2 linked regions of the Kluyveromyces lactis genome follow. The protein of the gene in region 1 purifies or fractionates together with the protein of each later gene. This does not show direct contact. Links are inferred from orthologs where the notes say so. Each region holds a gene or a part of one and is shown on either strand. Other genes may lie near its edges.

What was found. The genes of interacting proteins can lie anywhere in the genome.
Region 2: the proteins of SXM1 (region 1) and LHP1 purify together in Saccharomyces cerevisiae (affinity purification with mass spectrometry; 4 studies listed by BioGRID, with this or other methods). This does not show direct contact. The link is inferred for Kluyveromyces lactis from reciprocal best matches to the Saccharomyces cerevisiae genes SXM1 and LHP1.

What each region holds. Positions count from the first base shown.
Region 1 is NC_006039.1:573,518-579,230, forward strand, and holds SXM1 (Sxm1p), read left to right. Parts: upstream 1-2,087; coding exon 2,088-4,937; downstream 4,938-5,713. Other genes in the region: SMP3 (glycosylphosphatidylinositol-alpha 1,2 mannosyltransferase), read right to left, coding at 78-1,670; negative cofactor 2 transcription regulator complex subunit NCB2, read right to left, coding at 5,239-5,700.
Region 2 is NC_006041.1:128,065-132,259, reverse strand, and holds LHP1 (tRNA maturation protein LHP1), read right to left. Parts: upstream 2,332-4,195; coding exon 1,531-2,331; downstream 1-1,530. Other genes in the region: KNH1 (Knh1p), read left to right, coding at 481-1,266; PSY3 (Psy3p), read right to left, coding at 2,702-3,328; 1-acylglycerol-3-phosphate O-acyltransferase SLC1, read left to right, coding at 3,769-4,195.

The DNA.
Region 1 (5,713 bases):
GTGTTTGACTCAATACATATCGGTAAATGCAGTGTATATTGGAAAGTATTCCTAATAGAAAATAAGCCAGTAATATTTCAAACTATTAGACTTACGTTGTATAGCCTTAATCCTGGCTTTATGGTAGTCCAGTCTGGCATATCAATGTGATCTAAATCGAGATGCTGCTGCGTCTCCCATTCTGTGATGAACTTCCATTGCGACTGAAGGGGGGTCAATTTATCGAGAACAGTATTTGGCATGATTAGCTGAATTGAGTCTGTGTTCTCCGAAAATTTTGTAAGAGTTTTATTTAGTAACTCAATGTCACTACCTTTTAAATCAACAACATGATTTGATACAACATGCCAAGGTATATTATCGACAAACTCTACATTTTCCTTAAAGTTCGTGGTAGAAACCGTCAGATCAGGATTGGAATACATCCACGTCGGAGGAGAATATGTCTTCCACCAAATATGAACAGGGAATTCTTCACCTGAGAAGTAGGATATGAGAGGTATTATTCCTGCTTGATGGAATACTCCCATTATCAATCCCATGACAATATTAAAGACGAGCCATGAAGTTATGATGGTTTCTGCTTGAAAGAAAGTATCGAAATTGTCAAGGTTCATCGATGCACAAAGTAATGGTAGAACCGGTATTATAAAGCGTAATTCCTGATGTCTGAAAAGAGAAAGCATTAATATGCCAGAAATACAAGATAATGCAGGCAGTTTAAGCACAGCTTTTTGTGAAATAAAGAGTAGGATAATGGGACCGCAAATAAGAGGTAAGTTGATTAAAAGGTGAGTATATCGTGGGTGTAACCCATGTTGAGCAATATTATCCACCTTCATATTGTAAAGCAGATTATTTAAGGGAGCAATGACCCAGCTTTTACAGTCTGTACTGCTATACGCCTTCGTATCGAACAATATGATGAGCGCAGAGACTAGTGCCGTACTAATGGCAGTATATGCCACCCCAATCCAGTGAGAGAGAAAGCAATGGTAGAACACAGATAACAAAGGTAAGATCAAATACGCAGGGAAAGTGACTCTGTTGAATGTGCCGATGGAAATCAATGCACCTAGCAAGAAACATGATGAGAAGGTTGCATAGTGCCGACTTCGTACCTCGTAAATGCAATATTGACAAGTAAACAGGAATAGTAACAATATTATTGTTTCAAGGGAATTGGAAAACGTATGGCTTTGAAAGACCCAAGTGACATATGAGGTTCTGATGAAGAATTTTGCTTTAGTTTTATGCGTTATGGAGACCTCGCAAAACTCGAGGAAGAATATGACCACTGCCGTATAGAGTAAATAGTTCTGCAGCCGATAAAGATACAATAGACCCAAGGGTTTCAAGTGGAATATATGTTGATTCAGCCATAGCAGAGGTGTATAATAGAGCCTCAAAATAGTGATACTTCTGCAAGGATTTTCTGGAAGAAATTCCCATGTAGCAGTACCTTTAGCTCCAGTCCATGCTGTGAAAATGGGTTCTAATGTTTGGAAATGCTCATCGGGATGGATGTACGATGGTTCTAACGCAATGAGCAGCCCTATGATTAATCCCAGATACTCATATAACTTTAATTTCATATTATATGAGAAGGATACAGTGTTAGAAGTACCGCCTTTTTGCAGCTCAGGGAAAGATTCAATGTCAATTGACATTATAAGTACATTCTTCAATTAACCTACTTACATGGCCTTGGAAACTAACAGCTCAGGTTGGCATATTAAATGTCAACAAAACTACCAACACATTGCAATTTTGGTGTGGTGTTCTGATGCATGTGTGGTTCAAATTTTCGTTTTTTTTTCAATCTCGATGAGATAGAGACAGCTTCAATGTATTATCACCAACCACTATGATGATTCAACGGACTGAAACAGCGTTTCTCTTTAACGATATTTACAATCTGGTGTTAACTCGCTTTTTGGCCTCAAATTCATTTTTGCAATCTCATCGAACCATACCAAAGGATTCAAAAGTTTTCTGACAAAAGTTTTTTGACAAGTAAGCTTGTCAAGTATAATCAACGACGTTTCATTAAGAACAGTAGCATAACGGGCTAAACAAAAAGCACAATGGTGAATGAACAATTAACCTTGCAATTGTTTAGTCAAACTATGACTAGCGATGCTAGATCAATCAAAGCAGCCGAACAGCAGTTATTTGAATTACAGAAAGAACCAGGTTTCCTTTCCTTTCTTCTAAACACTACAAATAATGCCCAGTTGGAAATACCAATCAGAATGAGTTGCGCAATTTATATGAAGAATATGATACAAAGAAGTTGGAACTCTCGCAAGACGGTTATTATTTCTCCAGAGGAGAAAGATGCTGTGAAGCCGGCTTTGATTAATGCATTAATAACTAACTATGAGAATAATCATATTAGACCACATATTACTGAATCTATCGGCGCCATCTTAAAATGGAATGACGATTGGGTCTTCACCAACCAGGTTGTTGAGCTATTGCAATCTGGGAAACAAGAGTATATTTATCCAGGTCTATTGTTGATTTTTGAAGTATGTATCAATCACAGATGGGACATGTACGGCAATAGGCAATACATTGACGCATTTATCGATAGCGTCTTTCCAGTAATGGAACAGATTGCTGGTCAGCTAGTTAACCAAGAAAGTCATAAGTCGAACGAAATGTTGTACTTGATATTGAAGTCATTCAAATATGGTTGTTTGAATAACTTCCCAAGTTATTTCACGAATATTGACAAACTAAATTCTTGGATTCAATTGCATCTTTTCCTTTGTTCCAAACCGATGCCGTCTGAGACTATGGCCTTGGATTTGGCTGATAGGTCCTTAGACAAAAGGGTAAAAGTTAATAAATGGGCTTTCGGTAATTTATACAAATTTATTGCAAAGTATAGCAGGACCACAAAGGCTATCAATCAAGAAATGGTCGACTACGTTTTCCAAAATATTGTTCCAACCATTTTACAAGAATATTTCAAAGTCATTGAACTATGGGGTGCCAACAAAGGAACATTATGGCTCAGCGAATCCGCATTACATTATTTAATTCAATTTTTGGAAAAATGTGCGATTGAAAATACATTATGGTCAATGATTCAACCACATTTTGAGAGCATTATCAACCATGTTATTTTCCCATGTCTTTGCGCCTCTGATGCATCCGTAGAATTGTTCGAAGAAGATCCAGAAGAATATACAAGACGTTATTTCGACATAAACAAAGAAAGTTCCACAGCAGACGTGGCTGCCACAGACTTTATTTTTGTTATCGGTCACAAAAGAATGGAAGAGGTTAACAAACTATTGCCTTTGATCAACCAAGTATTCCTCCAATATCAACAGAATGACGTTATCCAAGCGGCCTACCAAGAGGAGGGTGCTTTGAGGATGTTATCTACTTTGTCTTCTTTCCTTACTTCGGAAACTGATAATGCTATCAATCTAGAGAGCATTTTCTCTCACTTCGTGCTACCTCTACTAAGTGATAAAAAACATTCATTCTTGGTCGCTAGAGCATTGGAGACCATTTCAATCTATCAATCTCCATTTTCGGATATGGGAATTTTATCCCAAATTTTTGAATCTGTATATGGGAACTTCGTTCAGAACAGCTCTCTACCGATTCAAATTGTCAGTGCTGATGCTTTGAAAACATTGGTGATATCTAATCCTGATATTCATTCGCATATTAAATCCCAAGCTCCTCAAATCATGGAAAGACTTTTGAAATTATCTAAAGAGTTTGAAATTGACACTTTAACAGAAGTCATGGAAGCGTTTGTGGAAAGGTTTGCGGAAGAGCTTACTCCATTTGCTAATGATTTAGCTCAGAACTTAGTCGATCAGTTTATGCAACTGGGCCAATCTTTGATTCAAAATAGTAACAGTAACTCAATTTCGGACCAAGACCAAGAATTCCAGGCCTCCGGTATGTTACAAACAATGACTACTATGGCTATGTCCATGAATAAAGTATGTTTGGTAAGCAAATTCCTTCCTGTCGTTAAATTTGTGATTGTCAACGCACAAATTATCTTCTTAACTGAGATTGTTGATTTGATGGATTCATTAGCCCTAAGCTCCAAGAGTTTGTTCAATGAATTCACCCCCGAAGTATGGGAAATGATTCATGACGTTCTTGACTCTTTCCAGACATATGCGTTGGATTACTTTGAATCTTACAAAATCTTCTTTGAAACAGTAATTAACTTCGGATTCGTTCAGGATCAAACATACTTGCCAGCTTTCTTGAGCATTTTGACAGAAGTTATGGGTTCCGGTGTCGATTACGATATTCAATGTGCTGTTGAACTATTAATATCATATGCTCTTTCTTTGAAAGAAATTCCTCTTTTTGCTTCTTTCTGTGATGCCGCAGTGGATGAAGAAATTGGTTTAGACGATGCGCTAATAGTTAAAATGTTCATGGCAGGATTATATTGCAAACCATTGGAGACTCTTCAAATATGCGAAAGCAAAGGATTACTTCTTGGTCTATTAAACAAATGGGTTTCCAGTAATCCAAGGACAGTATTTTCCATCAAATTACAAATGTTTGGTATCATGTCTATGTTCCAGTTGCCTGAATTACCAAGTTGCGTTACTGGCTTTATGAAACCATTAGCCAACAAACTAGTGAAACTAGTACAGGAACTTCCAGATGCTATGAGTAGGCGTACAAAGATCGGAAATGGAGAATTTGATGCAGAAGATGATAATGATAATGAGGGCCTCGATTTCTATGATGAAATTGACGACGACTTCAATGATTCTCCGTTAGATGATATCGATCCATTCTCAAAATTGCATGAATTCTTCGTATCACTACAGCAGTATAATCCCGAAAGGTATCATATTGTGATGCAATCAATGGACAGCGACTCTCAAGATGCATTGAAAACAATACTTGAGTTTGTAACTTCAAGCTTATGAACGCGTGCCTTAACCAATAATGATAGAAAATGATCCGATAAAATCTACAAACGGCAGAGTATAATCGTTCCAAATTCAGAATTGGACAGGTATACATATTCTATAAACGCACTTCAGTCAATCACATGAGGTATTTCATACATACTCCCGTCCTTGAAATGCAGAACGAATTTTCAAACTCTTTCATATAACAATAAATCGTACTATTACACAAGTATTTCTATAAACTTTTCTAGAGCAAGTCTGTCAAGTATAGAGGAGTGAGTTTTGAAGATAATGCAACACTTTGTTTGTTATGTTTTCAGAATTCTTCGGCCTTTACGCCAACTTCTGGATCGTTGCTTGAGGCGTCCGATACTGATGTCTGTTGTAACCTTGACCTAGATTGTCTGAATAATTCTTCCTGTTGTCGTAGTAATTCCTCCTCAGACAAACCGGATTTCTTGAATTTAGCATCCCGCCTCTCTCTAATCTTCTGGTTTTCTTTGTGTTGATGTAAAATCTCTTCTAATGGTGGAATAAATTCATCAAACTCCAAATCTTGTAAGGATTTGATCACGTGATCAGGCGCTATCGTCTTTTTCAACTCTTTATCTGCGATCTCGCTAGCAGAACCCGCTAGCATCATGATGAACTCTACCCCACATTCGATGATTATTTCACGAGCCTCCTTACTGAATGTTAGATCGGAATCAAGTACTTCAGATATGATTTTTTGAACGGTAGCCTTCGGTAATGTAACGTCGTCAACCTCTCCAACCATGTTTTCAATTGCT
Region 2 (4,195 bases), on another chromosome or scaffold:
TGTGACTTATGTAATTGTTGCGAAGCAACCATATGTAGGAAACCGGTGAACAACGTCTATGCAATACGGCATGATTGAGACCATTCTGGACGAAAGTTACTTCACATTTATCATGTAACATGTCTTGGAAGTGCTAATATTGCTTGTTATGTTTTTTTTGCTCCATTTCCTATGTCTCTTTGCTAAGTTCCCATGGCCAGACATCGATTTTTTTAAGAAATTGTTTCTAGAACTCAAATCACATTTCAATTATATATATTTGGGACTTTCACGGCGAACAAGTTTCTCAGATCAAGAAGGTATAAAAGACCGTAAAGACCTGTGGCCAGTATTGAACTACGTGGCATAGAAAGTGTTTCTTCATACTACTACAACATAACGGTAACTGACGAGTAGTAAGCGTGTGTGTGGCATTATCATTGAATCATTTAGGGTCCAGAGATTCAAATCAGCATTTGAAAAATAAACAATATACATAGAATGAGACTACTGGTATTACTGCTGTTGTACGTCTGTAAAGTTCTAGCTGATGTTTCTGTCACGGTTCCAAAACCAGGTTCTTCTTACGCTGCTTCTGGTGGTGAAGTCGAAATTGAAATCCAATGGACTGACGACGAGACGACCCCACTGTTAGATGAGATCATCGAGTACAAATTCGTCTTATGTACTGGTTCGGATTCTAATATCGTACCTGTTGACACTTTGGGTCCATTCAAGCCTTCCGAGGTGAGTGATTACAAGTACCAAGCCAGTTTCCCAGCCACCACGGCCCCAGACGGGACATATTTCATTCAGATCTACGCCGCGTATAAGGAAGGATACACGATTCATTACAGTGGTCGTATGAAATTGTCAGGTATGGACGGTACCTTGAGTGTCAGTGCAGAATCTGTGACTGACACTGATGGTCCTCCAAAGCAGATATCTCTTGATGCGGCTTCAGTAGATACAAGATCTTTCACTATTCCATATACCAAACAAACGGGTATTTCCAGATTTGCTCCAATGCAACAACAACCGGGTTCTACTGTAACTTTGGAGACTTGGTCAAGAAGATACGCGACAAGTGCGGTGTCTTACTTCCCTTCGCTGATCAATTCTTTGCAGCAAAAAACCACCATCACCCCAGGTTGGTCATACACAAGACCTTCAGATTACAACTATGCAACCCCTGCACCATTCCCCACCGAGAATGGTGGATGGTACGATCCTAAAGACAGACAGACTATGAGTGTTAGGAAATTGAATGTGAAGAGAGCTATTTGAATGATAAGAATCGATACAAGTGACAATTTCCATTCTAGTCTTTAAACAAAAAACATTTATGGGTAAACTTTATATTTTTCTTCTTAAAAACTTAATATATGTCATTATTTATCATATATAAGTGTGTGTATTTATTATTTCGTTAAACCTCTTTTCTTGGAGATTCCATTGGTATCCATCCTCTTACAATTTACTGGCAAAGAGTTCGATTGACACCGGAAAAAAGAGCTTTAGAATAACAATATGAGAATAGCCCGGACTGCCTTAAGCAGTTTCTGTGGCACTTTCTTCCGATTTCTTCTCAGTTGGAGCATTGGCATCTCCTTCACTGAGCTTTGATTCAGAACTGGCTTCAGGAGTTTCGTCATTAGTCTTTGGGATGTTCTTCCTGTAACCAGTTAATGATCTTGTCTTTTGACCAGAACCACCGAAATTCTTTGATCTAGTTGCATTCTTGGCGAGGCTGTATTGCTTCTTAGTGACAACTTCCAATGGTTGTCCCTGATATGAGAAATCGGTCTTGTGTTCCTCAAAGAATTTGACACATTCCTCCTTCGTCTTGAATTCGACTTCGACAACACCGTTGAAGTATTTCTTATGGTCCTTCTTCAAACGAACTTGGTTAACAGTGGTGAACCCATTGAAGAACTTCTCTAGTTCTTCTTGTAATTCTAGGAATTTATCTTTATCTTCATTTTCGATCTTCTTAAAGTTCATAAACACTAACACTCTTTCGTTCCTGTCCTTAAAATCAACTGTCTCTAATGGACTCTTTCTACGCACATTTTCACCATCAGCGCTAACCTCTAGAATCGTCGAGTCCTTTAAACAATCAACAACTTTGTCGACAGGTCTATACTTTTTCATTCTGTTGAAAGACGCAAGTGTCGTAATTGGAATCCATCCGTCATTCTGTTCGCATAGAGAGCGTAAAAATTTATCGTAGGGCAAATTATATTCACTGAAGTAGAATTCCACTTGTTTGCGGCAAGCCTGAGACACCTCAGGAGTGAAATCGATTGGGGCATAAGACCCACGACGACGGATCTCTTGGGAAAATGACATTGTTTCCAGTATAACTTGTTATGAGAAGTGCGATTCGATTCTTTACGGCTATGATCCAAACAATCCAATAGACAGCTAGATAAATGACCACAAACAATAGGGAAAAAGCCTTAAACTTTAACCCAGTTCTGAAAGGAAATGGAAGCTACAATGCACAAAGACAAGGATGTTAACAGTATCGATTAGAACCTGTATCATAACTTCAATTGGAATGTCATTTCGTAATTCTTTAACGTTTTTCCATGTTCAAAAATGCATGAAAAAAAAAAAAAATTGTTTGGTGTAGACAGAACCATGTCCTTTTGCCATGCAGAGATGAGAAGATCACATAGTAGGGCAACACGGTTTCTAGCACAGCGTTTTGTAGAGCTTATAGGATAATGTCGGATTCATTGAAATAGGGTAACAGACGGTCACCACTTGCACATTTTGTTGATTGATGTTTAAACGTGCTTTCTATACCACCATGGAACGATAAGGGCAAACTTGTAGAGATAACGACAGAACCGAAAGTCTGTTGTACGAGTCTAATTGATCTGTTGAGCAACTTGGCGTCGAATTTGGGGTCCATGGATAAGTGCGACAAATTATCAATGAGGACCCATGCCAACTGCTTCGATGTAGACGTTTCCGAATTCTGCGGTTGGCATCTAGACAATGCGGTCACGGGATCTGTACATAATTGAGACATAAATTGAATAAAGGAATCGAACTGAAGCATGGAAAGATTAGTCTGTTGGAATTCCGGGTATGTTTCGAGCAAGTCATTGTCGTTGTGGTCGTTCCGGGGCATCGAAGAAATGTTCAAGATTAGTCCGTTCCCCTCACATTGTTCGCGCACTGTGTTCACTATGGTTCTTGTTTTACCGTTTCCTCGCAGAGATTCCTGTACGACGTGAATCCTGGTACATTTCTTACCGTTGACTTCGCATGTATACTGGTATGGACTTGTAAATTGGTCCAAAGAGTACACTTTGCACCTTGACACAACGTTCATTTAATTTTCGCTACGTCGTTTGCTACTTGAACACAGATTTCAAATGCCCTCAATTGTTATCCAGGTGCTCTGTTCCTTTATTTGATGGTGATGATTTCACTAAATACATGGATCATATCCAGGATTATTTAGTTTGCAAATTCACAGTTCTAACTGGATCTGTCTGGTTTTAACAGATAATTGATTGCTGCCGATTCCGCTATCACGAAACTTTCTGGGTATGTTCGTTCCAACTGTTGTTACAATGTTGAGTTTCATCTCGTTCTCGTTCTTTTTTTTAAAAAATCTCACAAGATTGAAATAGTTTCTCGAATAATAATACCAACAAAAAACAGTCGAAAAATCATTGCATAAGGTACCAATAGTACACTCAGTTATTTGTTGATTCTATTACTGTGTGAGCAGTGGGAAACATTAAACAAAATCCATTTAATTCAGCTATGGGTTTTTTCAGCAAAATAGTTTTCTGGGGGAAGTCTGTCATTGCAGTTACACTTTTATCATCGTGTGCATTGTATGGTGTGCTTGCATCGATTGTATTTTCATTAATTGGTAAAAAGCATTTGGCGCAATGGAGTACTGCTCGCTGTTTCTATGGAGTGATGGGTTTCATCATGGGTATTAAGATTAATTTGATCAATGGTGAAAGATTGAACGATTTGCCAGCTATTTTTATCTCGAACCATCAATCTGAATTGGATATCCTAATGCTGGGTAGAACTTTCCCACCTGGATGCACAGTTACTGCTAAGAAACAGATAAAGTGGGTTCCCTTACTGGGTTGGTTTATGAGTCTTAGCGGTACTTTGTTCTTGGATAGATCTAGCAGAGAAAAGGCCATCAAGGTCTTAAATGACTCTTTGGCCA